Canis lupus familiaris: one gene and its partners. The protein of the gene in region 4 purifies or fractionates together with the protein of the main gene of each other region. This does not show direct contact. Links are inferred from orthologs where the notes say so. Each region holds a gene or a part of one and is shown on either strand. Other genes may lie near its edges.

Region 1 (7,281 bases), on a different chromosome or scaffold from region 4:
TTTCCTATCGATTCAAATATGAATCCATATATAGGCATTTATATGCCTTCATATAGTTAAAAGCATATATGCTTTTAACTATTCTGGGGTAGACAGGTGAGTCAGTTTTAAAAATCAGAAAAGCAAGGCTCAGTGAGTTAGACCACATTCCCAGGTCCCACAGCTGAGGCTTGGACGACCCTCCCTCCCACTAGCAGTCAGGGCGGGGTGGGAACTGCTTTCCACCTTTCTTAAATGCTCCCCAAAACTTGGTTTGGTTCTGGAAACATAAGAGATCCTTAAGCGACCTTTTCCGAGGGGCCAAGACGTCGTACAGTGAAGTCAGGACTTCTGACCTGGCCATCTCTACCGGCCTACGATTCCACTGGAAACATCAGCTCCCACCCCCCCAGTATCTGGCACCGTGTGTTACAAGCCTGCACTTTGCAGTGAAGCATTTCTGGGTGTACTCCCCTCCACTCTGGCTACATGACCTTGGCAGCTTACTTCAAGAAAGACTCCATATTCTCAACTGAGGGACACTACCTACTCCTGAACACTGACTTGAAGATTAGAACGAAGTGCCTAGAACACGGACACTCAAATAGTACAGTATCTTTCTTCTGAGCGTTTGGAGGAGGGGAGGGGGGTGAGATGGTACAAGAGGGGAGCAAAGGACATTCAATATTACTAGAACTGTTCGCTAAACATGTGTCAACATCAAAAACTCAACAAGAGTCATGTAATTTCACAGGAACTTGGAGTGCACATAGATTTTTGTACAAAGACTTACTATTTTAGTATTACCCAAAGTGGCAAAAATAAAGTAAAAATGAAAACAAAAAAACCAACCCAAACCATTTACTCTCAAGTGTAAGATCATTAAGGAGGCAGAGAACTATTAAATAAAGCATGGCATAGCCATGTGGTAAAGTGTCATGTGGTCATTAACAAACTGGATGTTGGGCAGCCCGGGTGGCTCAGTGGTTTAGTGCCGCCTTCAGCCCAGAGCCTGATCCTGGAGACCTGGGATCGAGTCCCATGCCGGGTTCCCTGCATGGAGCCTGCTTCTCCCTCTGCCTGTGTCTCTACTTCTCTTTCTGTGTCTCTCATGATGTGGTTATTTAATTAAGATGTGGTTTTTTAAAGGGGGGAGAATTGTTTCTTGGGGGTGTGAAAAAAATTTAAATTAGATATTACAATGATCTGTGCCCTCCAGAGGCACAGCACATAAAAAATATAGTTAATCTGCAGTATTAAACTTTCACGGGGGTGGGGTGTGTGTGGACTGATTAGGGCAAAATGGGTCTAAAAACTCCTCAGGAATGACAATGGGAAAAAGACTGGGGAACACTGGATTAAGGCTACATGGAGTTGCTCACAATACACATTAGGTTATAGAACACACAGTATGCACAGTCCCAGTCTAAGATACATTTCACTTTTTAAAAGTTTTAAGTAATCTCTATATCCAATATGGGGCTCGAACTCATGATCCTGAGATCAAGAGTCGCATGCTCTTCTGACTGAACCAGCTAGGTGTCCCTCATATACATTTCAAACCTGTAACTGAAGCTATTTCTAGCTGGTGGGATTACAGGGGTTTATCTTCTTCCATATACTTAGAAAAAAATACGTTACACATTTCTACAGGTTTTTGTTTTTGTTTTTAATTTTAGAATTAATTAAGGGTGCCTGAGTGGCTCAATGGACTGTGTCTGCTTTCAGCTCAGGACATGATCTCAGGATTCTGGGATCAAGCCTAGCACTGGGCTCCCTGCTTGGCGGGGAGTCTGCTGCTCCCTCTGCCTCCCCACCTCATACTGTCAAATAAATAAAAATCTTTTAGAAATTTTTAGAATTACACAAAATTTTTAATATTTTGGTATTAATGAGTAGATTTTATGTAGAAATAGTAAAACTATTTTCTCTTCAGGCATTCTCCAAGTAAAAGGTCCAGGAATAAGCAGGTGGGACTACGTTAATATTTTTGTAGTTCCTCAGCCTCAAAATGTACAAGTGTGCTGGATTACAACAGAATAAGAAGTGAGTCTGATGGCATTACAGTGTGGCTTTCCTTCTGTTCCTGTTTCTAGAGAAAGAAATCCACCTCAAAGGAGAAATGCGCTGTACCATTTACCTGCAGGCCTAATGTGCCTGGTGGGTGATAACACTTCAGGACTCTGGTTCAGACCTCAAAGTAAAACAAACAATCCAGTTTTGAAATTTTCTTCAAAAATGAAATTCCTACAATAGAGGGTATCAATAGCTTTTTTCTTCACTGGAGTTTCAGCAAGTCCCTTATGTATATCTCTGGTTCTGCCTTCATCCTTGACACATTCACAAATTCTTAAAACATTCAGCACACAAAGCTGGCTGCTCACTTTCAAAAACATGTTATTGTTTCATTTAATCAGGCTGCAAGCTGTGACTTTCAGAACAGCACAACGTGAGTGAAAAAAAAAAAAAAAAACCTTTCCCACGTCAGTAAAATTTCTCTTTCCTTAGAGAACATGCTCACTTTTATAATGTCTTTATCAATTACTCAATTTATATAAAATCAATTCTTTGCTAAAGACTGTTGTGAAACAAATTTTTAAAAATTTAGAAAAATTATTTAAAATCTTAAAGCCTTAATTTTACTATTACTAATTTTTAAAAACCCAACTATTTTGGTGCTATGCTGACTACAAGATAGAGTTAGAAGAGTGAGCCTTTCTCTCCCTCAAATTAAGACTATGCATTATACTGTGACAGCAGTAGTGCCACATCATGCCATCAATGGGGCCAGGGTCATTGTCAGACTGGCTTTCCTGTCACACTAGGGATATTAGATTTGTGGCAGTATGTTGAAGGGGGCACAATCCTGTATCCTCAAGAGCATATTATTACCTAAAAGGATCATACAGGCAAAAATTGTTAATGTCTATGTAGAACCAAAGCCTTGTCCTATAACATAAGAATTTAACAATTTCTTAGCTACCATTTGACAAGTTCTTCCTAACTTCCCTTAGCATCCATCAGTAAGTTCCTAACCTGGGCCCTGATGCTGTCCAACGCACAAGCTGCAAACAGAAAAAGACAAGGTTGCTAGTGTCTTTCCTTTCATTATTAATGTAATGAGCTCCATTAACCTGTTTTTGCCACCATGTTCAAAGGCTGGATTTGAAGCCTAGAGGAGAAGAGGGCATGATGGTTGTACTTTATGAAACCAGGAACAGGACTCTCTTCACCATATTTAACTTCTGACCTTTTCAGCTGTTGGAGCAAGTTGTTTAGTGAGCATTCAACCGGGCCAAAGTCTGAAATGCCAGCAACTCCCTGTCCAATCTCTGGTCTTTATTTGAAGCTGATAAAAACTGAGTGATGACATTGGTCAGAACAATGAAGCTTTGAGAACCACCACTTTTCAGTAAATCAGATGCCATTTTAAGAAAACTTATAATGGCTTCTAGCATAACACATGCTTTACATTAGTCAGACTGTGGTAAAGCTGGAATTCATTGTAAAACACTTTGAAAATATATGAAGTTAACTGAATTCCCCACACTGGAAGACTGTAGCTAACATTAATACTGTATACTTACGGTAACTTACAGATAGGTTAGAAAACACTGAAGGGTCTTATTCACTACTCTAATACTCTATTATTCATGTAGAAATATTTAATATCCTCCCAGTGAATTAATCAGTTCTCAAGCTCACATGAATTTTGCCACTTGTTTAGTCTTCTAGTCCTACAGCAAGTCAGCATATCTCACATCTAGCTTACTACATCTTTCCCACTAGCCCTAACCAAAACAGACATCACATACTCCAGATTCTCTTCAGGATATACCATCTAAAGTTACAGCAATTTCAGAGACAGTGCAAGCTTGTTCATGTTTAGAGTTACAGAAATGAGGCCTAGAAGTGCTTTGTGCATACAAGTAGCCAGAACCAGAGTAAGAACTCCAGAACCCTTGACAGAGAGAAAGAAAGGGTAGAAAGCATGGAAATCACAAGTGATAAATTTCAGATGGAAAAAGGATAAGAGAAATTATAACAAAAAACCAAAACTACAGTCACACAGCTGTTTTGTAGCAGCTTTAAAATATAGTATACAAAATTCAGCAACACGTTATAAAACTGTACAAATTTTTAGATGTTTAAGACCTAAGATTTTTATAAAGATAGACTTATGTTATGTACATTTCCAGGAACAGTGACTGTTATCAGAAAAAGTTACATTTGTCCCAGAACATAATATTCATAGTTTGCTTTCAAAACAAACTCAAAGTAAGGATTGGACTTTAAGCTTCCAAGCTGGTCTGCTTGTAGGAGGTCCTTCACCTCTGGCAAGTATTCACTGAGCTGAATACCTATAAACACAAACACACAGTCCTTTTTTATTTTCATAAAACTCTCAAATGAATTAAGATGATTAATGATAACAACATCTGTGCTTCTATTTAAAATATAATGTCACTCCACTATTGGGAAATACTGTTCTAAATTCCTTCCACTGTCAAACATACTTGCAGGTCTAACGACAGGACATTGTTTACTTAGAGGAGGGTGCTTGAGTATTTTTCCGCCTAGTGGTCAAAACAGCCAATCTGATTAAAGTCTTTTAAATAAGATCTGAAATATTTTCATTTTTCTCTATAGCGTAAGTCATTTCTTCAGAATGGAAGTTTTCAACTAATAATCACCTGAAAACAAGTATTTCAAACAATTATATATTCAAGTATTTCAAGAATTATATATATTAAATATATACCCAATTATATATATAGAGAAATAATTTAGCAGAGATAATATCATGAAAGCTAGCTATAGTGTCTCAAAATACAGTCTGAAATGAGACAGGAGAAGAATCATTTCTTCATTAGTCCTCTATAAAGCTGGAAAGCCAATGAACATTGATTAAATGGAACTGCCAGAATCAGGATTTGTGTAGTTACAAAGAGGCATGTAAAATTTTCTCACTTGATAAAGAAAACTAGAAAAAAATTCAATAAGACAATATAACTTGTCACATTAGCATTAAGTTCTCAAAATCAAATACGGAGTTTTTTTTTTAATACCCTCAAAGTGCCTAGCACCATTTTTTGTACTTGTTATATAATAAAAATCTGGATTAATAAATGTTATGAGGCTAAATCCAAAATATTTATAGATCATTTACTACAATTAAAATACTTTCAACAAAGATTGTGCATTTTGTGTGTATAATGTACTTCAATAATATATAAAAACAAACCAAAAAATTCCATGTGGGTAAGTTAAACATATCTGTTGGATGAATACATTCCACAAGCTGAAGTTAATTGCTGGCTGTCAAAGCCTATAAAATTTGAGGCTATTTATCTCTCTACCTTCAGGATCTGTCCTTTAAAAACATTTACTACTGTATATAGTATTATTCTACAGTATTATTAAAAATTTTCCAAAGACAGATGTCCCTACCTTCTTGTTATCTTTCATTTGTGTATATGTATTTATTTACATAATAGTTTCTACTTTTTTTTGTCCTTTGGTCACAATTCAGTAATTCTTTCTATAAAACCACAACTTTCCATTCCTGCTGCCCACCTATGATTTATAATCTAAGAATAACAAAAAGAGCAAAGTCACCTTTAAAAGGCACTAAACACTTACCCTGAGCAATAACTCAATTCTGTGGCACTTTTATGAGAACAAGCTTCATGAAAAACATTGGATTTGAGTCCAAATGCTTTCTAATAATCTATTAGGCCCAACTGGAAAATCTCTCCAACAGCACAGAGAAATCAACTATATCCAGTTATTTCTTCATTTTCAAATACAGAAAAAAAGTCTTACAGGTGTTTTAGCTGTTTCTGAATTTCAAGTATTTCAAATACTTTCAAGCAAAAGTCAGGTTCTTTTGCTATATCTCTTAACTCATTTTTAATTTTTATTTATTTTGTAACAATGAAAAGGCTTGATTAACCTTTGTGTTATCTGCTTGTCTTTGAAAATGAATGCACTATTAAATCTGTCATGTAGGATGATCAAGCATTCCTTTTTCATAAATAAAATCCATATCGGGGATCCCTGGGTGGCTCAGTGGTTTCGCGCCTGCCTTTGGCCCAGGGCGCGATCCTGGAGTCCTGGGATCGAGTCCCGCATCGGGCTCCCGGCATGGAGCCTGCTTCTCCCTCTGCCTGCGTCTCTGCCTCTCTCTCTCTATGTCTATCATAAATAAATAAATAAAAATAAATATTTAAAAATAATAATAATAATAAAATAAAATCCATATCAATTCTAGGCAAGTTCCAAGTTGTCTAGTCATAGAACTGTATTTTCACTGGATCACTTATAAAAGGCGACTAAAAATCTGAAAAGCAAGGAATGCAAGGAGACCACCACCGATGGGCTGTAAAACAAAAGCTTCTGACACACAAATGGTTGAGAGTTTGCTTTTGTTTCACCTCCGAATATGGGGTGGTATGGCTGGTTTCACACTACCTTTCCAAGAGCCCCCTTTTACTTTCCCAGGGTAAGCCAGCAATTCTAAAATACAAGATGGCAGAATACAATCCATTACAGAGGAGCTGGGGCTTTGAATCTACAAAATACTTGTAGGCATTCAAAGGACAAGTATCTGTTGAGTGACTACTACATACCAGGGACTCAGTTTGCCATGTTTTATGTATATTAAAAAATGTCTCTTGCATATATATATATATATATATATATATATATATATATATACACATACATACATACATATATAGAAAACTTTCAAATGTGTGTAAATGTCACTATGATGGATTAAAGTCCCATCGATTTAGGAGGACTGAATTTACAATAACTTATCACTGTATATTTTTCCCATGTGGTCCAAAAGAATGTCCTTATCTTTTTGCAAAGACTGGTAAACTCTAAGCCTTATTTTGCACATGGCCTGAATTTAGTATGACACATTTTGATAGAACATGATATAACAGGAGCCACATGTGTATAAAATGTGCAAAACTGCTCATCTCTAACACTCTCCATATGTTAAGTTCTCAGTAATATGGAAAAAGGTGAAGGTAACTACAGTTGATCTTTGAACAGCACAGGTTTGAAGTGCATGGGTCCACTTAGCTCCAAATTTTTTGGATTCGGTACACTACTGTAAATGTATTCTTCTTATTATTTTCTCAATAGCAATTTCTCTTCTCTAGCTTCTTTTATTGTAAGAATACAGTATATAATACACATGCAAAGTTATGTGTTAACTGTTTATGTTATTGGTAAGGCTTCTGGTCAATAGCAGGCTAACAGTAGTGAAGTTTTTAGGGAGTAAAA
Region 2 (8,839 bases), on a different chromosome or scaffold from region 4:
CCAGCCCGATGCAGGACTGGATCCTGGGACTCCAGGATCACGCCCTAGGCCCAAGGCAGGCGCTAAACCGCTGAGCCGCCCAGGGATCCCCAGGCTTTTTTTTTTTTTTTTTTTTTTTTATGATAGTCACAGAGAGAGAGAGAGAGAGAGAGGCAGAGGGAGAAGCAGGCTCCATGCACCGGGAGCCCGACGTGGGATTCGATCCCGGGTCTCCAGGATCGAGCCCTGGGCCAAAGGCAGGCACAAAACCGCTGCGCCACCCAGGCGTTCCTGAGAATGATTCTTAGTTTGACTTTGGAGTGACTGAAAATGATTTTTAGTTGGGACTTTTGTACAATAAGTATGTTTTGTTTTAGGAGATTTTGATTCCAGAAATATTTTATTGTCTTCCTTGGGTTCTGATATATCTCAGGTTGAAGTTTCTCTTGCATAAATGAGACTCTTCAGTCTAGATACAGGAATTTAGGAGTTAAACCAAGGAATATAAGGAAAGGAGGAGCCTGAGAAGGATGAAGACATAAAGATTTGTATATTGATTGTTTTTCCAAAAGTATTCATTTATGATTATATGTAAGAAAAAGAGAATATGTAAACTATGTAATTAAACCTCATTCTTGGAAGCACATTGAGAGGGGCTAGGAGGAAGAAAAAGATCCATAGATAGAATAACTTTTTGCTCTTAGGCTAAAATATGTTTCCAATACTTTCCCCCAGTATTATCTAGCTCTACGTCAGACAATTTCAGTGCCTGTTATTTTCAAATGAGAGTTGACTTTTTACTTGTTTTTTTAATCTTTAAGTAATCTCCATACTCAACATGAGGGTGAACTCACAACCTCAAGATCAAGAGTCATATGCTCTACCGACAGAGCCAGCCAAGCACCCTTTCAAATGGCAATCTTAAAATATGAAGAAACTGTAGTACTAAAATTCTCCAAGGTCTTTTGTCATTCAAATAGTTTTTTTTTTTTTTTCCCCCCTCAGGTCTCTCTTTGAGAAAGGTGTCTTTCTTTTTGGTCTTTTATCCTATTATTTTTTTCTTTCTCCTCATCCTACTCCCTAGAATAATTTTTTCTGAAGGAAATTAGGCATGATTTCTATCAATGTCTTATTAAGTCTGACTTTTAACTTCTGCTGCTGGGAGAATTTTGAATAGCCAGAGCAGATACGGTAACCAGTTTTTTTTTTTTTTTAAGATTTTATTTATTCATTCATGAGACATAGAGAGAGGCAGAGACACAGGCAGAGGGAGAAGCAGGCTCCATGCAGGGAGCCCGATGTGGGACTTGATCCCTGGTCTCCAGGATCCCACCCTGGGCTGAAGGCGGCGCCAAACCGCTGAGCCACTGGGGCTGCCCTCAGTTTTTAAATTTTTTTTTTTTTTTTTTTTTAATTTATGATAGTCACAGGGAGAGAGAGAGAGAGAGAGGCAGAGACATAGGCAGAGGGAGAAGCAGGCTCCATGCACCAGGAGCCCGATGTGGGATTCGATCCCGGGTCTCCAGGATCGCGCCCTAGGCCAAAGGCAGGCGCTAAACCGCTGCGCCACCCAGGGATCCCTGCCCTCAGTTTTTAAAACTGATTTGCTATTGAATGTTTACTTTTCATTTTTAAAAATATTTAATTATTATCATTTTTAATTTTTATTTTTTTGGGGGGAGAGAGAGAGGGAGAGACTGAGCATGGTAGGGGAGGCAGAGGAAGAGGGAGAGAGAATCTTAAGCAGGCTCCATGCTAAGTGCAGAGCCCAACGTAGGGCTTGATCTTCCGATCCTGAAATTATGACCTGACCAAAATCAAGAGTCTGACACTTAACCCATTTTGCCACCCAGGGGCCTCAATATTTGATTTTTAAGTAAGCTCGACACCCAGTGTGATCAAGAGTCACATGTTAAAAAATAAAAAAAAATAAAAAAAAAAAGAGCTGCAGGCTTTACTGACAGAGTCAGCCAGGCACCCCCTTGAATGTTCATTTTACTTTTCAGAAAATATTAGGCCTCTTTTTACTCCCAGGAAATGGACATGAATGCTTTTCTCAGACATCATAACCACAGCACTGATGTTAGAAACACTCAAATCAGTGTAACTCTGTGAAACATTTGGAAAATGCATCAAGACATAGTAGGTAGAACTGTGGAATTTTGTGCAAAACTACATTAAAGTTCATCCTATGGATAGCTGTCTTCAGAGACCGGGATTTTTTTTTTTTCCTTTGCTTAATCTGTACCTCAATATAATAAACTATCTGGGTGACAGTGTTTTTCCCAACCACTCCAAGTCGTCTTTTTCTTCCAATTCAAATAGGCCGCTTAGAAGAACCTCCGGGAAGGGAGCGTTTTAGAATTATGTCTTGTTTTCAGATCAAATTTCTAAGTTAAAGCAGCTGCCACATCTTCAGGCAGTTTTTCCTAAGACTTACCTTTAAATTTGGATTTATCTTCAATTCGATCAAAAAGTCGCTTATTTGGGAATTTAGAACCAGTCCTATTTTCTTCCCTGTGTATGTATTTGCTAATACGGTATTCACAAAATCAATCACTCCTTTAAACAACCGGGACACTTCTGAGTTTTCCATAACAAAGGTCTGGGATTCCGTGGTTTGAGTGTCCTTTTCTCCTTTGCTTTGGTGAGATAACAAACCAGTATTTGTATTTCATTAAGCCCAGCTGTCTCGATTTCACAGTTGTTTCGGCCGCATCAATTTTGTACGCGTGCTTTCGAGCGTTTTAGGGCGGGAGTGGCGACGACCGCCTGGATGCACAAGCCCAGTGGGCCGACGGGGATTGGGCAAGGACCGGATACCGTTCAGAGAAGCAGCTGCGCCGAACTTGCAGACCAGACAGGAACGAGAAGAGCTAGAGTCAGGCGACGCCACGGGCTCGCTCACTCGGGAGCCAGGCACTGCACTCGCCTCCGGCCCCAGAGCAGCCGACTCAGCTCGCGCAGGCGCAGTCGCAGTCGCTCCGCGGCTCCCGCCGTCTCCGGGGGCCTTTACCCCGGCCGGTGCCGGGCTGCCCGCGGCGGCGCCTGACCTGGCCGAAGGTTACTGTGAGGACCGGCTACCCCGGCGCTGTTTTCCCTGTCGTGTTGTCGCCCGCCATGAAGGAGGGGCACGTGTAGAGTGTCGCGGAGGGAGGATCGTGGCCGAGAGGAGGGGCCCCTGCCGCGCCGGGGGTTTGGGCCTGCAGGCAGTGCGGGAGGCGCCCGGGAGGGGGTCCTCTCTCGCAGCCGGCTGTGAGCGGGAGGCCTGAGCCGGGAGCTTCGGCGGCCGAGCTCGTTCCAGGCTGCTGAGGCGAGGCGCAATGGAGGAACTCGACGGCGAGCCTACCGTCACGGTAAGGGCGCCTCGCACCGGCCTCGTCTTCGCGGTGTGAGGGTTGTGTCTGCTTCCACCTCCCGCGAGGCTCCCGGCCTCCTCCCTCAGCTTCGCTGCCACAGTTCGGAGGTCCCATTAGCTAGGTGCTCGTGTTTGGGTCGCAGTGGTCGCTGTTTCCCCACATTTTCGTTTACTCAGAAATGCCTGGCTCGGAGGCCTCGCTCCCTCACCCTTTCGTGTCTTCCTGACTTTCCCATCCCACTTCCCTCGCTTTTCCTATTGGACTAGCGCTCTAGTGAGCGGGCACCGACCGAGCAGAGGAACTGGGGCTTTTTTTCTTCCGCAGAACTAAGCTTCGCATCTCAATACCGTGAGCTTGGCTTCTGCCTCTTGTGCCGTGCTGGCCAGGGTTTACTAAAAGTTTTTACTCACTTCGGAAGATTTCTTGTTCTTCTTGTTCTGTTCGCTTTTAGTTCTGTCTGGACTTTAAGAAGAGTGTCAAATGTGAATGATCTATGATTTTCTTTAAACATTTTATTTATTCATGAGAGGCAAAGAGAGGCAGAGACCCAGGCAGGGGGAGAAGCAGGCTCCGTGCAGGGAGCCCCATGAGGGATTCGATCCCAGAACCCCAGGACCACGCCCTCGGCTGAAGGCAGGAGCTAAACCACTGAGCCACTCAGGGATCCCTAATTTATAATGTTTGAAAAGAGATTCGTGGCTTTTTCAATAGGAGATACCTACCATTCTGGAACACACTTTCTTTTTCTCTCAGGTTTATCTCCTCATTTTTCAGATTCAAGAACCAGCACCCTCTTTCTCAAGAAAGCCTTCCCCCTACCTCCCTGACTAGGTCAAATATTAGTCCGTTATTGACTTGTTCTGCACCTCTTAGCTCTTGGTCAGTTATAAGCCTCACTAAATTGCAGGTTGTCTGATCTTGTATTTTTGCTTTTTAGAAGGTTGAGTTGCCTGCAGTTTTCAGCGAAAGCCATCAGGTGGCAAAAGGGTGTCTGACAAAAACCAAAGATTAAAGGTGGGGGTCGTTTCAAAGCTAACTGGACAAAAGGAGACACGAGATCATAAATAGCAGTTAACTTGGGTTGTTGTTACTCTATAAAACTTACTGCTGTTAAGTGTTAAATTTTTAAGACCTATATAAAGTACTTTATTACATATCAAGGGCTATGTCAGTGTCAGTTGGAAGAAAAATCAGAATATCAGAATCACTGGAACGTTTTCAGACTATGTGTCATCTTGCCTTTCTCTCCTCCACTTATGTCAGAATCTTTGGATGGGGGCACTTTTCCAGTAACCTGCACAATCCTGGGGAGCCACTACGTTAATATTGAGCCATGATAATTAGCTATGCTTTACAAATTAAATGAAGATGATCTAAGCTTTTTTTTTTTTTAAGATTTTATTCATTTAAAAGCAAAAGATTTTATTTCAGAGAGCACAAGCAGGTAAAGGAGCAGAGAGAGAGAGAAGGGGGTGGGGAGGGAGGGAGGGAGGGAGGGAGGGAGGGAGGGAGGGAAAAAGAAGCAAGCTCCCCACAGAGCAGGGAGCCTGACACAGGGCTTGATCTTAGGATCCTGAAAACATGATCTGAGCCAAAAGCAGACAGTTAATGGACTGAGCCACTCAGGTGCCCCAATCTAAATTTATTTTTTAACACCAGTAGTGATGATGGACTTGTGATAGCTCAGATCCACACTGGTGTTAAGGAGACCAGATAGGAAACAGGCCTGGGCGGAAGGTGGCACTAAACTGCTGAGCCACCCGGGCTACCCTATTTATTATTTTTTAAAGATTTTATTTATTTATTCATGAGAGACACAGAGAGGCAGGGACCCAGGCAGAGGGAGAAGCAGGCTCCCTGTGGGGAGCCCGATGAGGGACTCCATCCCGGGACTCCAGGATCACGACCTGGGCTGAAGGCAGATGCCCAACCGTTGAGCCACCTAGGCATCCCACGTACCATATTTTTAAAAATAATGAATTGTAAGACTTCTTTTTATATTCTATATATCAAATACGTGTTTTATCCCAGTCTGTGGCTTCCCTTTTCATTTTCTTAATTCTATCTTTTTAACAGCAAAAGCTTAATTTTGATGTCCCGGATTATAAGTTGTTCTGTAGTTTGTGCTTTTTGTGTCCTATCTTTTCTTTAAGATCAAAAAGGTTTTCTACTGTGCTTTTCCAATTTTACAGATTTTACTCTATGTTTGTGTCTAATTTGTGTTTTGTCTATGGTGTGAGGTTTATTTTTTGCATATAGATACTCATTTCCTTCAGCACCACTGTGCGTAATACTTCCCCCTTGCCTGGCCTATTCATCCATTAAGAATCTGCTAAAAAATCCTCTTTTGTGTTTATCTCTGTCTTAGCATTGCTCCACTTTTCTTACTGCCTGTTTATTGGACTTCTCAGTAGACTACTAGCTTTTGGAGGGCAGAAACTGTATTCTAACATTGTTGTATTTCTAGAGCACAGTACAGAAAAAGGCTTACTAGACATTGCTTAGTTGTTGGATGACTGCATTAGCCCTTTCTGAGAACTGACTGCACTTGTCTTGAGACCAGAATATTGCCAGCCAAATTTATTCTCTGGCAAAAATGTTTATGGAGTGCCAACTTTGTGCCAGGGTCTCTTCTAGGCAGTGAACAAGAATCCTGGAATCCCCTCCCCTTGCAAGCTTTTATGTATTTATAGGACAGATAACCATGTAGGAGAGTCATTTCAGGCACTGAAGAAATGCTGTTGTAGTCATATGAGAGTTGATGGTGACTTGGGTTAGACTGCTAGACTTGGTAAGTGGTTGGATTCAGGCTTATTTAAGAGTAGAACGGGATTTACTGATTAGACAAAGGTCGTAAGGAAAAGAGAAGAATCGAAGATTGCTCCTAACAGTTTGGGAAAGGCTTTGTCCTGGTGGGAGAGACTTGGACGTGAGCACCAAGAATCCTTTTTGGTTCTGTTGTTATGGATATAGCTCTAGAGGTTAGGTAATCTATAAAGGTGTGAATTAGGTAGTTGAGTATATAAGGCTGAGGCCCAAAGGGGTTGATCTGAGTTGGGGAGAAAAAGTCTTCATTAAAGAGATGGCACAGAAGACATGGTATTGGAGGGCTCCTTTTAGTAAGTAAACAGTTGAGTTTATTTTTTATTTTTTAATTTTTTTTTAATTTATTTATTTATGATAGTCACACACGGGGCGGGGGGGGGGGGGCGGGCAGAGACATAGGCAGAGGGAGAAGCAGGCTCCATGCAGGGAGCCCAATGTGGAACTCGATCCTGGGACTCCAGGATCATGCCCTGAGCCAAAGGCAGATGCCCAACCACTGAGCTACCCAGGTGTCCCATCCTTTTTATTTTTTTAAAATCCTCTTTTTCTAAACTATAGATTACTAAATTATATATAGTAATTGATTAAGGGCAGCTTTCCTTTATATCAACACTTGCAAAGTGGCAGGCTGGGTTGAGGTGCCTGGCAAAGCTCACTTGCTTATTCAGGGTTTAACACACTAGCTGATCTCAACCACACTCAGCTGTATATACATAGATCAGCTCTTAACTTTCATAACCATTTATTTCTAGGGTTATACTTGCAAATCAATTGAAAGCAAAGGCTCTAGTTAAAATAACAGTGTCTGTACCTTTATTTTACTAGTTGATTCCAGGAGTGAATTCCAAGATGAAGCAAATGTGTTTTGACTGGGGTCCAGGGGAGATGCTGGTGTGTGAAACCTCCTTCAACAAAAACGGTAGGTTTTTTTCCCTTATTCTCTCAGATTTAACTAACTGCGGCAGTTGAACAAACTTTGTACCATTTTCATTTTTGGAACCTTAGTTAAGATTTTTTTTTTTCTAAAGATTTTATTTATTTATTCATGAGAAACACACAGAGAGGCAGAGACACAGGCAGAGGGAGAAGCTGACTCCATGCAGGGAGCCCGACGCGGGACTTGATCCCAGGACTCCAGGATCAGGCATTTGGGCTGAAGGTGGCGCTAAACCGCTGAGCTACCCGGCTGCCCAAGTTGTTTAAGATTTTGATTCATTTATGAGATGTGGCAGATGTTGACTCTAAGGAAAAAAATTAATAATTTTTGTGGTGTGCCTTCATATTTAAAAATTTCAAGTTTTTTCCCATTCTTGACCAGAATGACTAAATTCCCTTCACAGTAGCTCCCGTACGGTGAAACCTTAGTTCTCCTAGCCCTTACCTTTGTATTATTGTGAATTTGATGAATTCTTATGGCTATTGATACAAAGCACAAAAGATCTGGAGGGTGAAATGGCTCTTCCTTGTTCTCTAAGCTCCTTCAGGTTTTGGACATGGATCTTTTCTTCCTGTGACAGACTCCTCTAGTAGCAAGATAAGGCTACATTTTGACATTTGATTTTGCTTTCTCCTTTTCAAGAGAAGTCTCTGCAAATGTTGAAGAGATTTTTTTTGCAAATCTTCGACATGTTCTTTATCCAAATGTGGAGATTTTCCTCTTTTATAAAGAGGAGATTGATCTAATGAAAGTCTTATAATTTTGGCAAATCATGGGGTGTGCAGTTCATGCAATTTTGAAGTGCTATATAGTTTTTTTTTTTTTTAATTTATGATAGTCACAGAGAGAGAGAGAGAGAGAGAGAGAGAGAGAGGCATAGACATAGGCAGAGGGAGAAGCAGGCTCCATGCACTGGGAGCCCGACGTGGGATTCGATCCCGGGTCTCCAGGATCGCGCCCTGGGCCAAAGACAGGCACTAAACCACTGCGCCACCCAGGGATCCCCCATGAAGTGCTATAGTTAAAAAAATTTTTTTCGACGTGATTTTCCTTGATTTTATTGTTGACCGTTGTCCCTGATGTTGCCAAATATTTATGGGATATTTTGGTATTAAAGATCTCAAGCTTGGCAGAACTGTAGAAGCTGCCAAAGGGACAATTGCTTAGAATAGAACCTTCTTTGAATATGTCTGGCCTCTTTTCATACTTCATGGGAAAGCTTATCAGCATTTTTAGTTTGTCCTCGATTGTTGGAAACATGAGGTTTTCTGTTTATGTCTGTTGAAATCTCATTAGAGACAAGCCATTGAACATCATCAGCTTGTTCAAGAAGCTGTTATATAAGGAATTTCCACAAGTTGGTGGTTTATAATTTATCATTATAGAGCCTTTTTATCACTGTTCCAAAATATTTTAGTCAACTCTTGATTCTTTGTTTTAGGAGTAATGGCAGTACAAAATAATATAGAAATAATATTTATTTGAATTTGAGATTATATAAAATTTCAGCTGTAAGTTTATCTTTTTTTAGGCTATTTGTTTATTTGAGAGAGAGAGAGCCCTGAAGCATGCTCATGCAAGGAGGGAGGGGCCTAGGGAGCTGAAGAAGCAGACTCGCAGAGCAGGGAGCCCAACCCAGTGTTCCATCCCAGGACTCTAGAATCATGACCTGAGCTGAAGGCAGATGCTTAACTGACTGAGCCTCCCAGGCACCCCTTGGCTGTAGGTTTATCTTATT
Region 3 (8,182 bases), on a different chromosome or scaffold from region 4:
CACCCTTTTTTGAATAAAGGATGTCATGATTTACTTTACCTACTTGAATTACTTTATGTTCTAGATTAAGAGGTGCTTTATTTTCAGGGTTTGGCAGCTTTGTATGAGGAATATTCTCTTGAGGTGGAAAGTGAAGGTTCCTAAAATCATTGAAGGTTTTCTTTTTTTTTTTTTTTTAAGATTTTATTTATTCATGAGAGACACAGAGAGAGAGGCAGAGACATAGACAGAGGGAGAATCAGGCTCCATGCAGGGAGCTCGATGTGGGACTCAATCCTGGGACTCCAGGATCACACGCTGAGCCGAATGCAGATGCTTAACTGCTGAGCCACCCAGGTGTCCCTCATGGAAGGTTTCATTCATGAAACTTCACTCTCCATATATCTAAAGAGACGGTCATTTTACAGATAGTACCTTTGTATGTAGGAATTGTAATATACTGTGCTGGTATTTAGACATAAGTAAGATCAACTTTCAGAGATTATAATATATGAAAGAGATATTCTGTTTGTCTGCTTTTCCCAGTATTTTATTTGCTCTTTTCCATAGATTTCCTAAGGGCTTCCTTTAAAAACAAAACCAAAAAAAAACAACTTCCTTGATCCCTTTTGAGCCATCTTTCTATTATTATTATTATTAGTCTATTTTTCTTTTCAGGACTGGCTTTGAAGAAGCACCTGATCTCCCAAGATTTCTCTGAAAATAAGTACACAGACATCTTTTGGGGGAGTTTATTGCAATTGCTTAGATATACTTTAACAAATTCACTAATGGGGGTCCTAGGAGCTTACTAGTTCCTCATAGTTTCATAGTTTCCCCCTTATCCAGTTATTACATGATACCTCATAGCTTCAAAATCTATGCATGAGGGTGGAGCAAATAAAACCTTGATACTTCTTAAAAATACTCTGGGTCCCTTAGGTCTCTAAGTCGTTTAAGGCAAAATGGGTAGATTTCATCAAATTGTTCTAAGTGAACATCTCTTGCTGCTGTTATTTCTTTGTTGAGTAGTGTAAGTTGAAACCATCCTCCCCTTTTTTCCTTTCCTCCCACCCATCTTCACTCCTTGTTCTTTCATATTATCAATTGCTTTTGCTACTGTGTGCCAGGGATCACACTAGGCAGTAGAATTGATGAAGAGAATATCCGATGAATGTTGACTTTAACAATATGCTTGATAATAGATACAGAGAATAAAAGTAGGCTATAATCTGTTTCCAAGCCTTGACAATGTGGTGGGACAAATAAATACTGCATATGTGAGAAATCATAATATATCATGATAAATTATTAAAAACAGTTTAGACGGGGTATTATAGGAGCCCAACAGACAGAGAGTATCCTCACTGATAGGCTGACACAGAGGATGTGAAGTAGTTTAATAACTTTTCCTAAAAGTGAATTGGTTAAAAACTAACTTGTGAAGGAACCTTTGGAGTTAGAGTGTTCCCACAGTTCTTGTAAGTAAAATAGGAACATTGTGACCAAGTCTACTTTTTTATTTTTTTAAAGTTGAAAAAGTTACATTAATGGCTATTTCTTTGTCCACAGTAACCATGAAATTATTTTTTTAAACTACCTGTTAACATAATAGCATCAATTTGAAGGTCTCTGTGAAATAGGCCACTTATGAAGATAAGCCTCAAACTTTGGAATATTAATAATCTACAGATGATACCATGATAAAAATAATTAGTAAAACTTTTTGATTTTGAGAATGTTTCATAAATTGGTTTAGCCACTTGATACCATTTTATCAGATGTACTATGCAAGTTTAGGATATACTTAATGAATTTGTGCTGAACCAGTTATTTTACAGTGTCCTACAGATTGATGAGTTATTACCTTTCCAGATCATAAACTGTTAGTCATGAGTATATCTTGAAAACTGCTTAATAAATGTAAATCTAATTCTAAGCACTTGAACAAAAGGATTATTCCAAGATTCTATTGTTCCTAGGGGCACCTGGCTGGCTCAGTCAGTAAAGCATGGGACTCTTGATCTTAGGATCAGCAGTTCAAGCCCCCACCTTAGGCATAGAGCTTATTTTAAAAAACAAAACGAAAAAGAAAAACACCAAACAGTTCCTAATATTACTTTGTTTTTCCTTTTGGGAAAATAAACATTGTATCTTATATGGTACTACATATATAGAGCCCAGCTGACTTTTAGGATTCGGTTACCCAAAAAGTAAACTCCAGGCCCCAAATTATGTTCACTGGAAATTTATTTCTAATTGTTTTCATTTTAAAAATGCCAAGTTGTTGGAGACCTTTTAATCTCTTTTCCCAAAGGCTTCTGGCTACAAGGCAGTGTAAGGGCAGGGTTATCCTGTGTATATCAGAAAATTATATTTGCTAGCTAAATCAGGTAAGGCATAATCTTTGTCTAAAGACCACTATTTAAAAAAATAATAATAATAATAAAGACCACTATTTGCTCAGTATGGGGCTTCGGATCCAGACACCAGACCTGCATATATTACAAAAGGGTGATTTCAGGAATCTGTATTTGGACTCCCAAGTACATATAGAGGGGATTTAGGATAATTATTGTTGAAGCCTTTTTAGCAAACATGCTATCTTGCATTGTCGCAGGATCAGCAGAATCTAGTCCTGCTATATCATGTTCTGAATGAACTAAATGTGGTCTAAAAGCTGTCTGTCTGGTGTAATTTAATGCTGCTTCCCTGATCTTTCTGCTGTCTACAGAGCCAGAGCCCAGAGGTGGAGCAGTTAGGGAGGGTTGTGGAGCTGGACAGTGACATGGTAGATATCACCCAGGAGCCAGTTTTGGATTCCATGTTAGAAGAGAGCGTGCCTGAGGATCAGGAGCCCGTGTCTGCCTCAACACACATTGCGTCTTCACTGGGAATTAATCCACATGTCTTACAGGTGAAGTCCTAACCCACCCTTCCTACAACAGGAAGCCAAACTGCTCTTTACCTCCCGTGCATAACCTTGGGCTGCTTCTTTAATTATTGACTGAAGAGCATTGACTGGTCATTGGAATGAGAAAAAAAAAACAAGAATATGGACCATGTTTGGGCCTCATTTTTCCATTCTGGGAGGGAAGGGGAACGTTATATTGAAATTCAGAAGACCTGGATTCCAACCTCGGTTTTGTAACTATTACCATGTGACTTTAGACAAGTCCTTTAACATCTGTGAGCACTGATTTTTCTCTATAAAATATACTTTGTTTCCTCCCTAGGGTGGTTTTGAGGCTCTAGAAAGTGCTCCATAAAAGTTTTCTTAATAAGCTGGTAGATACTGGTTTCTTTAAACTCTATCTCAACTTCCCCCTACCTGTGCCTTTTGGCATGCTATAAGTTTAGCCTTTGTCTTATATTTGAAGTTAATCATTCAGCAAACAGATGGGCAATTGCTGTGTGCCAGGCTTTGGCAAGACTCTAGATACAAAAAGTATTCTATAATTTCTACCCTTCAGGTACATACAGTATAACAGAGTCAGCCACACAAATATACTAGCTCTGGACAGAGCCTGTAGGAAGAGCAGTTTATTGATTATTGGAAACTGCATTTTTCTTTTTTGGCCTTTGGATTTCAGGGAACACATTCATTCTATAGATATTGCCTTTTTAGATCATGAAAGCATCATTGCTTGCTGATGAAGAAGATGTAGATATGGTTCTGGATCAACGCTTCAGTCACCTTCCTTCTAAAGCAGATACTTCTCAAGAAATCTGTTCTCCCAGACTCCCCATTTCAGCATCCCACTCATCAAAATCCCGTTCTTTAGGTACTGTAAATGATGCTATTTTACAAGAAAGCTGTAAAGTCCTGCTTTTCACCTGTCTTCTAAGTTGAGTCAGCTTCTCTAGCGAATATCCCCCTAAAGACATATGATAATAAGGATGTCAAGAGGAGATGTATTCTTAGAAATTTGTTAGGTGGGCCAGTTTTGGGTTTCTTTTTTTTTTTTTTTTTTTTTTAAGATTTTATTTATTCATGGGGGTGGGGGGGGGCAGACACGCAGGCAGAGGGAGAAGCAGGCTCCATGCAGGGAGCATGATGTGGGCCTCAATCCTGGGTCCCCAGGACCATGCCCTTGGCCAAAGGTGGTGCTAAACCGCTGAGCCACCCAGGCTGCCCAGTGGGCCAGTTTTTAAAAGCCATAATCAGCTTTATTGGTGTAGATGAAGAAGTTTTGTGGAACACAAAGCATTTGTGTTTTGTTTGGGTTATGTCTTTATTTGCCTATGAATGTGGATTAGGTAGTAAGCTCAGATTTCCTCATTTTTATCATATTTTAGAGGAATAAGCAAATTGTCCTGCACTGTACTCTTTTTGGGCAATCCTCATGCTATCCTTATTTTATTGCCTTCTGGGGGCAAATGTTGCTTCTTAAAATGCACAGTAACTTGTCAGATTTCTACCTTTTCCTAAATCTCCCTAAATTCCTAGGGAAGTAATATTTGACTTTAAAGCTTTCCCTTCTCGTGGGCTTCTAACTATGTGGAACTGAGGATAGAGGGACTTAAGTACATTTGGATTGGGGGTTTAAGGGATTTAAGTACATTTGGATTGGTTCCTTAAGCCAAGGAAACTACCAGGAAGAGATTTGTCTATGTTGTCTGAAAAACTGTTTAGTTTTCAATTCTTTCAAGTGTTAATTTCCATTTTAAAAATATTGTAACTAATAAACTACCAGTTAAACATTCATTACAACCTTTTCCATAATGGGCACTACATGAAAATCTTATACTTCAATAACTAACTCATTGCTTTAGACAGGATTAGAAAACAGGCAGTAGTAATAAGAACTGTCCTCCAAAACGTGTAAGATGTCTCGGTGGGTTTTTCTTTCATTGAGTCTAGCATTGAGTATTAGAGTGGTAGCAGTTTGAATTTAGATCTTATTAAGCTTTTTCTGTTGACTAAGAAATGGTTACATTTGACATTCTAACAAGGGTATGAACATTGGTGTTAGACTTCCCTGGGCTTCTGTCAGTGCTGCCACTTAATAGCTTTGTGGATTTGGACTAAACACTATTCTGAGCCCAATTTTTCCACCTATTAAATGAGGATAATATTGGTGTCCGTCTGAAGTTATTGAAAGGTGAAATGAAACAGTATATACAAATGGCCTACACAGAGTCACAGATAAGAGCTAAATAATTTTTTAAAATAGTAGTAGTAAAAAAACAAAATAGTAGTAGTAGTGTTTTTGATGTCAATAATTGTTGTTGGGCTCGTTGTCACTAAAATTCCTGCCTTGATTTCTTGGTTGAAAGAGCATTACACACACTGACTTGCTGCTTGTCACCAATATCTGATTTAGTTGGTTTGATAAAGCTGTGATTTCATCCTCACTGATTATTGCTGTTCGAGAAGCAATAGAGACTGTATTTTCTAATAGTCTTTTTTTCCCCCTGTTTCAGTTGGTGGGTTACTACAATCAAAGTTCACTAGTGGATCTTTTCTTTCACCAAGTGCCTCTGTACAAGAATGTCGTACTCCCAGAGCAGCATCTTTGATGAATATCCCATCCACGTCCCCTTGGTCTGTCCCTCCACCCCTGACCTCTGTGTTTACAGTGCCCAGCCCAGCCCCTGAAATTCAATTGAAAACCGTGGGTACACGCAGACAACCAGGCCTAGTTCCTCTTGAAAAGTCTGTTACCTATGGCAAGGGGAAACTCTTGATGGACATGGCCCTATTTATGGGACGCTCATTTCGAGTTGGTTGGGGACCCAATTGGACTCTTGCTAATAGTGGAGAACAGCTGAGTGGCTCACATGAACTGGAAAATCATCAGATTGCTGATTCTATGGAATATGGATTCCTGCCTAATCCAGTAGCTGTTAAATCGTGAGTCACATTTTCCTTATGCTTTTTAAGAAAGGCAACTTAGTTGGTAAGACAAAAACATTTCATTATGAAGTGACCCAAGGTCAAGGCTCTGCTTTGGTGATCTTTCTAGAAATGTTCTTAGTACAGTTTTAGATAGCAGAAGATCTTTGTATAACTAAAAACTAAACTGACAAAACATGAGAGACACCTAACTCTGGGAAATGAACAAGTGGAAGGGGGAGGTGGGCGGGGGGTTAGGGTGACTGGGTAATGGGCACTGAGGGGGCACTTGGCGGGATGAGCACTGGGTGTTATGCTATATGTTGGCAAATTGAACTCCAATAAAAAACATAAAAAAAATTAACTGAAACTGATTAATAAGATGATTCCATTGTACCATCAGGGTATGAAGAGTATATAATACTTCCTTAATGGTTAAACTTTAGTTGAAAATGTAACAGACCCAAAGCTGATACTGCAGCATTCCTTGTTTTTTTTTTTCATCCTTTTTATTGTAAGTCTTTTTTTTTCTTTTTTTTTAAATATATATATATAAGGTATCTTCTTAATTAGGCACAATTCCTATATCTTGGATCTGATAAGGTGAATGTATAAACTGTATAATCTGTACATAAGTATTTGGAAATAAGATGACATCTAATAGGGGCTCCTGGCTGGCTCAGTTGGTAGAGCATACAAACTCTTGATCTCGGCTTTCTGAGTTCAAGCCCCCCCCCCCCCACACACATTTGGTGTAGAGCTTACTTTAAAAAAAAAAAAAAAAAGATGATCATCTGATAACTGTATTATGTTATATATTACTACATAATCCTTATCATTAACATGTGTGTTTATAGTTCTATATACTTTGTCTATGTGTATGAGTGTGCATGTATATGGATCTATATATATCATGCCTATTATGTATAGTTTCTGGTAGTAATTAGGCAGTATGCATACAGTTTTGTGCAAAATATATAACATTTTCGTATTTACTTTTTATAATAAATTGTGCTGTGTCCTTTTTTTTAAGATTTTATTTAAAAAAAAGATTTTATTTATTTATTCATGTGAGACACAGAGAGAGAGAGAGGCAGAGACATAGGCAGAAGGATAAGCAGGCTTCATGCAGGAAGCCCGATGTGGGACTCGACCCCGGGACTCCGGGATCATGCCCTGAGTCAAAGTTAGACTCCCAACTGCTGAGCCACCCAGGCATCCCAAATTGTGCTTTGTTACAGATTAAATGACTGTGATTACCTATTCTTAATTTTTAAAGTTGACTTTGAAGAAACACAGAACAACAGTATCTCTTGAACCTCACAGTCAGGAATGTTGATTCTAAACCTAGGTTATGCATGATGTCATGATATTTTATAGGTTTTTAAGTTTGTTTTCTTTTTAAGATTTTATTTATTTGAGAGAGAGAGAGCACAAGCGAGGAGTTGGTGGTGAGAGGGGCAGAGGGAGAGGGAGAAGCAGACTCCCTGCTGAGCAGGAAGCCAACGCAGGGCTCGATCCTGACTCCAGCCCCAAGATCATGACTCCAGCCTAAGGCAGACACCTAACTGAGCCACCCAGGTGCTCCAATGTCATGATATTTTGAAAATTGTTAATATCAATCTTAGATCAGAGCCAGATTGATTATATGTTCATCTTAATTTAGAATCAGTTCTACAGTGTGTGTGTGTGTGTGTGTGTGTGTGTGTGTGTATATATATATATATATATATATATATATAAGCTTAGCCTCACAACTTTTGATACCTCATGAAGTATAACTTGAGAAATCAGTATCCCACAATGCCCTTTGGTCCTTGGATTTCATAATATCTAGATACATACTGAAACCAGTTCCAAGTGGAACTCTTTTTTTTTTTTTTAGATTTTATTTATTTATTCATGATAGACACAGAGAGAGAGAGAGAGAGAGAGAGAGAGAGAGAGAGAGGCAGAGACACAGGCAGAGGGAGAAGCAGACTCCATGCAGGGAGCCTGACGTGGGACTCCATCCTGGGTCTCCAGGGTCACACCCTGGACTGAAGGCGGCGCTAAACCGCTGAGCCACTCGGGCTGCCCCAAGTGGAACTATATTGATTTCCATTCTTGTTATGACCTGACCTAAAGAATAAATTTAAGCCTTTGGATTCTGAATGCATGGGCCAGACAATTTGTTTACTTAGTATATGGCAAATAAGTTCATTATAGTTTGACATTACAAAATACAATTTCTGTAAAATCATTGGGACGTGTTTTGCATTCTCTTTGTAATCATAAAAAGATATAAAGATTTATAGGAAAATTCTAAAATCTGTTTTATCTTTATTTTCTGTCTTGTCATTTGTTCTTATAGCCTAACTGAGT
Region 4 (8,182 bases):
GCAATCAATGTGTATCCTTCTCAGCAATGAGGACAAGGTCTAGGAAGAGCTATGCTTCTTTCAATTCTCTTTATTTTTTCTAAGGCAGAATGGATAAGGAGAGGTTACAAAAAGGGTGTAAGTCTCTTCTTAATTATAGAAAGATAACTGTTTGGAGAGAGAGAGAGAAACAGCTAAACTCTTTTCCTGCTTACTTTTCCCCTCTAGAATAGTTATGCGGGAGAAAGGTATCCAGATCCCAGTAAAAATTTGGGCAAAAATACATTGTTTTCAATGTACTGAAAAAAGGGGCACCTGAGTAGCTCAATAGTTGAGCATTTGCCTTTGGCTCAGGGCATGATCCTGGCGTCCTGGGATTGAATCCTACATCGGACTTCCTGCATGGAGCCTGCTTCTCTCTGCCTATGTCTCTGCCTCTCTCTCTGTCTCTCATGAATGAGTAAATCAAATCTTAAAAAACAAAACAAGTATATTAGAGTAAAAAGCAAATTCTAAAAATAATTCAGGGACAATGTAAAGTTTCTTTTTTTCATATCACTATTTCTAATTATCTAAATAGAACTCTCAAATTTTAAAAGAATTCTTACCAGCATTGTTTTCCCATTTCCAGGTGGACCAAAGAGTAACAATCCTCTGGCAGGAGCTCTAAGCCCTGTGAACAACTAAAAACATTTACTTTAGTTCACAACTATAATTCTGGAGACTTTTTTTCCAGACACTTTAAGTACTGTTATCTAAAAAGCACCATTTTTCTGTAGCATCCTCCCAAACAGAACTTGTCAGAGCTCTGAAGAGAGCACGTAATCAATAAATTGGTATAATTATTAAGAAAACAAAATTTTTAAAAATTTCACTGAGAAAAGAAAGCAAATTAGCTAAACAAAGACATACTAAACATAGGTATGCTTCTCTACTTCCTTTGAAATCTCACCAAAATAATAGTAAATGAATAAAGAAAATATAAATCTTCTAAAAGAATAAGAAAGGAGACAACAGAAGACACAAAATTTTGCAGAGGGAGATCTGACAAAGTGTGGTAAATTCCTCAGTGGAGTGAGGTAAAACCAAGTGCTTGCTTGTTAAGAAAAGTGTTGGGGCACCTGGATGGCTCAGTCAGTTAAGCATCTCCCTTCAGCTCAGGTCATGATCCTGGGGCCCATGTCAGGCTCTTCGCTCAGTGGGGAGTCTGCTTTCCCCTCTCCTTCTGCCCTCCCCCTCTGCTCATGCTTGCTCTCATGCGCACTCTCTCTCTCAAATTAAAAAAATAAATAAATAAAAATTTAAAAAATTAAAAAAAAAATTAAAGTGTCATACCGTCTTCCAAAGTAGCTGTACCATTTTGCCTTCCCTTCAGTAATGAGTAGAGTCCCTATTGCTCCACATCCACACCGGCATTTGGTACTGTGTTTTGGATTGTAGCCATTTTAATAAATGTGAGGTGGAATCCTACTGTTGTTTAACATGTAATTCCCTAATGATGAATGATGTTGAGCATTCTTTTTTTTTAAGATTTTATTTTTATTTATTTATTCATGAGAGACACAGAGAGGCAGAGACACAAGCAGAGAGAGAAGCAGGCTCCATTCAGGGAGCCTGATGTGGGACTCGATCCCGTATCTCCAGGATCACGCTCTGGGCTGAAGACAGGCACCAAACCACCGAGCCACCCAGGCTTCCCTATTTTTTCAAATGCTTATTTGTCATCTGTGTATCTTCTTTGGTAAAGTGTCTGTTCATATTTTTTGTCCACACTTTACCTGGGTCATTTTTCTTCTTTATTGTTCAAGTTTTAAAAGTTCTTTGTATATTTTTCAATACCAGTCCTATATCAAATAATGTTTTGCAAAGACTTTCTCCTTGTCTGTGGTTTGTCTTCTCATTCTCTTAACAATGTCTTTCACAGGGGATCCCTGGGTGGCTCAGCGGTTTAGCCACTTGCCTTTGGCCCAAGGTGTGATCCTGGAGTCCTGGGATCGAGTCCCACATCGGGCTCCCTGCATGGAGCCTGCTTCTCCCTCTGCTTGTGTCTCTGCTTCTCCCTCTGCCTGTGTCTCTGCCTCTCTCTCTATGTCTGTCATGAATAATAAAATCTAAAAAAAAAAAATGTCTTTCACAGAAAAGTGTTTAATTTTCATGAATTTCAACTTAACAACTTTTTCTTTCAAGGATCATGTTTTTGGTGTTGTATCTAATAAGCCATCCTCAAACCAAGATCACCTAGATTTTTTCCTATGTTATCTTCTAGGAGTTTTATAGTTAGCCTTCTACATCTAGGTCTGTGACCAATTTTGAATTAACTTTTGTGAAAGGTGTAAAGTATATGTCTAGAACTTTTTTTCACATGGATGTTTAGTTGTTGTTTTGTGGAAAATACTATCCTTTCTCCATCAAATTGCTTTTGTGCCTTTTTCAATTGATAATACTTGTGTCTCTGTATTTCTGGGCTCTCTATTCTGTTCTACTGATCTATTTGTCTTTCTTTTGCCAAAGACACATTTCTAATTACTCAGCATTTTTTGGTTTTTAAAAATTTCCAGCTTTATTGAGATATAACATTGTGTAATTTTAACATGTGCAATATAATTTGACACACAAATAAATTGTGAAATATTTACCACAATGAGGTTAATACATCCTTTTCCTCACATAATTACCATTTTGTTGTTTTTATTGTTATGATCAGAACAAACAAAATGGAAACAAAATCATAAAAACAGAGAACTGGTGGTTGCCAGAGGGGAGGGAGCTAAAGGGACAAGCAAAATAGGTGAAGGGAATTAAGAGATACAAATCTCTAGTTACAAAATAATAATTCATGGGGATGAAAAGTACAACATGGGAACTATAGTCAGTAATATTACAGGCGCAGCCCGGGTGGCTCAGCGGTTTAGCGCTGCCATCAGCCTAGGGTGTGATCCTGGAGACCCAAGATTGAGTCCCACATCAGGCTCCCTGCATGGAGCCTGCTTCTCCCTCTGCCTGTGTCTCTGCCTCTCATTCTCTCTCTCATGAATAAATAAATAAATAATCAAAAAAATAATAATATTGCAGTAATATTGTACGGTGACATATGGTTAACTATACTTATCATATAGTGAGTATAACTTAATGTACAGAATTGTCAAATCATTATGTTATACACCAGCAACTCCTATAACATTGTATTTCAACTATACTTTGATAAAATTCTTCAAACTTAAACTTATTAATTTAATCCTAACTTCCCTTTTCTCCAGTATGATTTCTGGCTCATAATTTTAAATCTCTCTTACCTTAATGTAAAACTTATTTTCTATTACCTACTTTTTTCTCTAAATGTTAAAAATGGATTGGTTATTAGGAACCTATATAGTCACTCCTATAATAACCAGTCAGCATCAATTGCTAATATTTCTTTCTTTTTAAAAACATCCAGTCTGTTACATCCATTAATCATTTCTATCTAGTGTAACTCACAGATTACTGCTAATATGGATTCAATAATGAATGCTGAAAAAAAAATAATGAATGATGTTATAGGAAAATGGTAATAGGGGATCCCTGGGTGGCGCAGCGGTTTAGCGCCTGCCTTTGGCCCAGGGCGCGATCCTGGAGACCCGGCATCGAATCCCACGTCGGGCTCCCGGTGCATAGAGCCTGCTTTTCCCTCTGCCTGTGTCTCTGCCTCTCTCTCTCTCTCTCTCTCTGTGTGACTATCATAAATAAATAAAAATTTAAAAAAATTTATAAAAAAAAAAAAGGAAAATGGTAATATAAAGTGTTTACCTCAGGCCTCAGAGAAGGAAGAATAACAATTTCTTGCAAGGCTTGTTTTGCCAATTCTTGCCCAGCTATATCATCAAATTTAACAGCTGTTCCACTAAGAAATAGAATTTCAGTTAGCTCTATGACAAAATATGATTCAGTTATTATAATATAAAATTTAAACTTAATGAAATACAATTATTTTTTTGAAATACAATTATTTTTATGTTAACTGTGAAATTATAGTTTAATTAGTAAAACCATAGTTTTCTACATTTACAGTAACTAAAAACCACCATAAAAATTATGTACATTAGAGAAGATACTCTATCTTACTCATGATATATTGTATAGATAAATTCAAAACTAAAAACTGTTAAATAAAACACTTTAGATGGCAAAAACTTACTTGTCCACAATTTCGTTCATTATAAGGTTAGCAAGATTGCTGTCCACATTCCTAAAATTCTTCAAGTCTTTCTTTTTACGAGCAGCAGTTGTAGGGGTAGAAGGCTTATTTGTTCTATTTGTTTTTGGCGTACTCTTAAAGGACACAAAATTGCAATGTAAAAATACAACCTAACATTAACACTTGTCATAAGTAAGTTAAAATTGGCCTTAAAATTCACAGAATTAAAAGTTTTAAATATAGGAAAAAGGATATTAAAAAACCCCAAAATTGTATATCCACTTCAAGGTAAAATGTATTCACTACAGAACTACATTTGGCATGAAGTGGGTTTATAGGGGATTTCATCCAGAGAGATTTAGGTACCATAAAATAAAAAGGGCCTCTGACAATTCAGTCATATAATTTTGATTGTTAGGATTCGAACAAAACTCTATGTTTAATGTTATAAAACACATTAAACAATTAAAATAACAAATTTAAAATTAACTATACAGCATTATATAAAATAGATTAGACAAGCAACTTATAACAAAATACCTAATTAGGTCCAAGGAAGTTAAAATAAGATTTGATTTTAATAGCAAATTCTTTGCAGATTTAAAAAAGAAAACTATATTCAACTTTCTAGAAACTTATCAATTCTCTAAGATATTACAAATTACTTCTAATAATCTCAAGCAAGCATATCGTGTTCAAAATTGTCTATTTGCAAAAGCATAGCAATTAAAAGTGACTGTCTCCAAATACCTTATGAGTTCCAGTTACAGGACCAGGTCCCTGTCTCACTCCAGAAACCATGGATAAGCCACTACAACTAGGTGCTCTGTGGTGGCCTGACAAACCTGTGGATCCAGTCTTCATAACTGTTTTTGAACGAGGCAGTGAATTACTAGTGTGTGTTAAGGGATCTTTTCTCTTTGGAACAGCTCCACTTTCTATCAAGGAAAAAGTAAAACCATCATGGTTAGAAAACTGTGGCTAAATAATATAAAATAAAGATGGATTCAAATTTGCAAAACTATTTTTTACATTAGCAATATTTCAAAATAAGATATTAATTAGAATATCTACTTAAATGTTCATCAGGGTTATCACTTTGGTAGACAAGACTATAGTTATTTATGTTTTTCCTTTTCCTGATGTATTATTTTGATTTTCTTATAAGGAATATGTATTTGTAATAAGAAAAAACATGTTTATTTGTGGGAACAGGAAGAGGATATAAAAAGATTACCAAACGAAGTTCCCAAATATTGTCAAGAAACAAAATGCAGTAAAGGATTAGAGTTATGTTGTATGGGGTGGAGGAGTACTGTACTACCTTGGTTCCAAATTAAGACTGTAAAATAGTATGAAAGTCCACAGTCTGTGCCCACCAAAAGAGTTTCTAGAAATAATCATTTTTAATTTAAGGGGTATAAAGATGTGGTGTTTAATATGCCAAGTATTCTGCATGCTGTATGTATGTAGATAAACATATGAAACACCATCAATTAAACCTAGAAGTATACCTGACTTATCTGTATTGCACTTCTACATAAACTACAGGATTTCAAATGTTCAAATCTCATTGCTTCTAATATTTTTATAAACTACATAACAAACATCAGTTACTAATAACAATGATTACAGTAAAGACAAATGTTAAATCAGTAATCAAATTACAATAGCCTAGAAAAAAGACAAAAACCTTATTTTTGTGTTTATCAAATCCCTTAAAGTGTTTTAATGAAATTCAAAGGAAAGGACTTCAGAATAGAGCAAGGTGATCAAGAGCTTTTTGCTATAAATAAATGTAAAGTTCTGAATCATATGTTCAAGGAACTAATGAATAGCAACCCTAAAGGACAAAAAGCAGGAAAGCAATCTAGAAAGGGGAATAACAATAAGCAAAAGCAAAGACATGAAAAAGAGCAAAATCTGTCTAGGCTAAAGATAAAGATCATTCATTTTAAGGGAAAAAAAGGAAAGTGGGAAAGAATTTCTTCAGACAATAAATATACAGTCCTGAGACTAAGTGAATAGGAAATTCCACAAGGAACTATGAGAATGATAGGAGACTTTTCATTAAAAAGAAGAAAGGTCAGTAGGCAATGGATTATGTTCAAAATGCTATAGGAAGAAAAAAGTGTTAACCTTTATCAATTTTATATCCTGGTAACCTGTCACATCAGAATAAGGATATTTCAGGCAATAGAAAGACTAAGAAAGGTTACAATCTACAAATTTTCATTGAAAGAACTACTAAAGCAGGTCTTTTTTTTCTTGAAGATTTTATTTATTTATTCATGAGAGACACAGAGAGAGAGAGAGAGAGAGAGAGAGAGAGAGAGAGGCAGAGACACAGGCAGAGGGAAAAGCAGGTTCCATGCAGGAAGCCCGACATGGGACTCGATCCCGGGTCTCCAGGATCACACCCTGGGCTGAAGGCAGCACTAAACCACTGAGCCACCAGGGCTGCCCTAAAGAAGGTCTTTTAGTTAAAAAAGCAAACAAAGAAATTAGGAATCTATGGGAAGGAAAAACTCAAAAAAGGAAGCATAATTAGAATATACTATTTAGTTTTAGGTATATAATACTAAATCATAATAATGTTAAATTTGATTTTTCAGTATAACTAAAAATAGTGATATTTATATATCAGAAGATGAAGGGTAATGTTGGTATAAAAATTAAACCTTCTTTTACTGAATAAGAAGTCAATGCACATCAAAATAGTATACCGATCAGTAATAGCAACCTAAGCATATTATCTAGAAACATAGTAGAACACAAAAAATAGAGTGAGACATTATATGAGAAGCCAGACTAGGGGTAAAGGCAGGAAGAAATTAGGAAGAGGTAGGAAGAATACTATTTTTCTTTACAAGCCTTTCAGTATTTATTTTTTCATCAACCATTTAAGTTACAATCTATGAATAAATTATATCCATTTAAAATGTATAATTTGATAAGTTTATAAAGATGCATTTAAAGATCAAATAGCCACTAACATCAAGATATGAAATGTTTCCATTGTAGCCAAGTTTTCTTATATTCATTTGCACTCCATCCCTTATTGCCCCGACCTAGGCAATTACTAATCTGCTCTCTAACAAAGTAGGAGTCACCTGATTTAGTAGTTTCTATTGATCTAGGTTCAGAGTCACTGAATCATTTGACATTTCCAATCTGCTGGTAAACTTATCTAGTAAATTTTTTATTTCAGCAACTGTACTTTTCAACTTTAGAATTTCCATTATTTTTATTGTGTAGTTTATGTTATGTCCTAAAATTGCAGGTTTGTTAACTGATGCCATATGTCAATTCTTTGAACATATTTATAAAAGCTGCTTTGAAGTCTTTGCTACATCAACATCTGGGCCCAGTCAAGAGTCAGTTTCTATTGACTAATTCTTTTCTTGAGTAATGGTCATACTTTCTTATTTTTTTACATGTCTAGTAATTTTGGGTTGAAAACTAGACATTGTAGGTAAGATACTGAAGTAGTAAGTGGACTTCGGCATAACTATTTCCTAAGAGAGACGAAGTAACTCATCTAAATGAAATATCACAGAATATTCCAGAAGTGGGTGACACCAGTAAAATAGGCTTGAATGAGCCAGCTCATTGACTAGGGCTCAATGGGTATCAATTACCAGTGCTGCATAAATTAGCTGTGCAGTCAATATGTCCCCCAACAAGAAAATAGAATAGAACAGTCAGATTACTAGGTATTTAAAATAAGATACGGTGATTTTTTTTTAATATAGATCCCAGGAAAATAAAGTTTTGCATGGCAAAACAAAACCGTGGGATCTCATATATGGAATGAAGTGGAAGAGAAGCAAGATAACAAAAGAAAGGCATACCAGCTCTTCAGGGCTAGAAAATTTTTGTTATTTACCTTGGTAGGATTACTAAGATCTCAAATTTATATCTTGTAAACTGAATTATTTATATGTGGTACATTCTTATATATTTTTAAAGTTCCTTAAACAAATCTCAGCTCTTCACATCTGTGTTAAGAGAAACAGGCAAACTACT

The links.
Region 1: the proteins of SPAST (region 4) and NUP133 purify together in Homo sapiens (affinity purification with mass spectrometry; 3 studies listed by BioGRID and IntAct, counting the BioPlex papers as one, with this or other methods). This does not show direct contact. The link is inferred for Canis lupus familiaris from reciprocal best matches to the Homo sapiens genes SPAST and NUP133.
Region 2: the proteins of SPAST (region 4) and NUP85 purify together in Homo sapiens (affinity purification with mass spectrometry; 3 studies listed by BioGRID and IntAct, counting the BioPlex papers as one, with this or other methods). This does not show direct contact. The link is inferred for Canis lupus familiaris from reciprocal best matches to the Homo sapiens genes SPAST and NUP85.
Region 3: the proteins of SPAST (region 4) and NUP98 purify together in Homo sapiens (affinity purification with mass spectrometry; 3 studies listed by BioGRID and IntAct, counting the BioPlex papers as one, with this or other methods). This does not show direct contact. The link is inferred for Canis lupus familiaris from reciprocal best matches to the Homo sapiens genes SPAST and NUP98.

Annotation. Positions count from the first base shown.
Region 1 is NC_049225.1:10,203,019-10,210,299, reverse strand, and holds the end of NUP133 (nuclear pore complex protein Nup133), read right to left. Parts: intron 4,341-7,281; coding exon 4,204-4,340; 3' UTR 3,298-4,203; downstream 1-3,297. UniProt on the Homo sapiens protein: Involved in poly(A)+ RNA transport. Involved in nephrogenesis.
Region 2 is NC_049230.1:6,158,827-6,167,665, reverse strand, and holds the start of NUP85 (nuclear pore complex protein Nup85), read left to right. Parts: upstream 1-3,047; 5' UTR 3,048-3,302; coding exon 3,303-3,335; intron 3,336-6,989; coding exon 6,990-7,083; intron 7,084-8,839. UniProt on the Homo sapiens protein: Essential component of the nuclear pore complex (NPC) that seems to be required for NPC assembly and maintenance. As part of the NPC Nup107-160 subcomplex plays a role in RNA export and in tethering NUP96/Nup98 and NUP153 to the nucleus.
Region 3 is NC_049242.1:26,381,703-26,389,884, reverse strand, and holds part of NUP98 (nuclear pore complex protein Nup98-Nup96), read left to right. Parts: intron 1-2,713; coding exon 2,714-2,896; intron 2,897-3,607; coding exon 3,608-3,764; intron 3,765-5,406; coding exon 5,407-5,836; intron 5,837-8,171; coding exon 8,172-8,182. UniProt on the Homo sapiens protein: Plays a role in the nuclear pore complex (NPC) assembly and/or maintenance. NUP98 and NUP96 are involved in the bidirectional transport across the NPC. May anchor NUP153 and TPR to the NPC.
Region 4 is NC_049238.1:25,455,773-25,463,954, reverse strand, and holds part of SPAST (spastin), read right to left. Parts: intron 5,092-8,182; coding exon 4,904-5,091; intron 4,288-4,903; coding exon 4,154-4,287; intron 3,860-4,153; coding exon 3,766-3,859; intron 663-3,765; coding exon 588-662; intron 1-587. UniProt on the Homo sapiens protein: ATP-dependent microtubule severing protein that specifically recognizes and cuts microtubules that are polyglutamylated.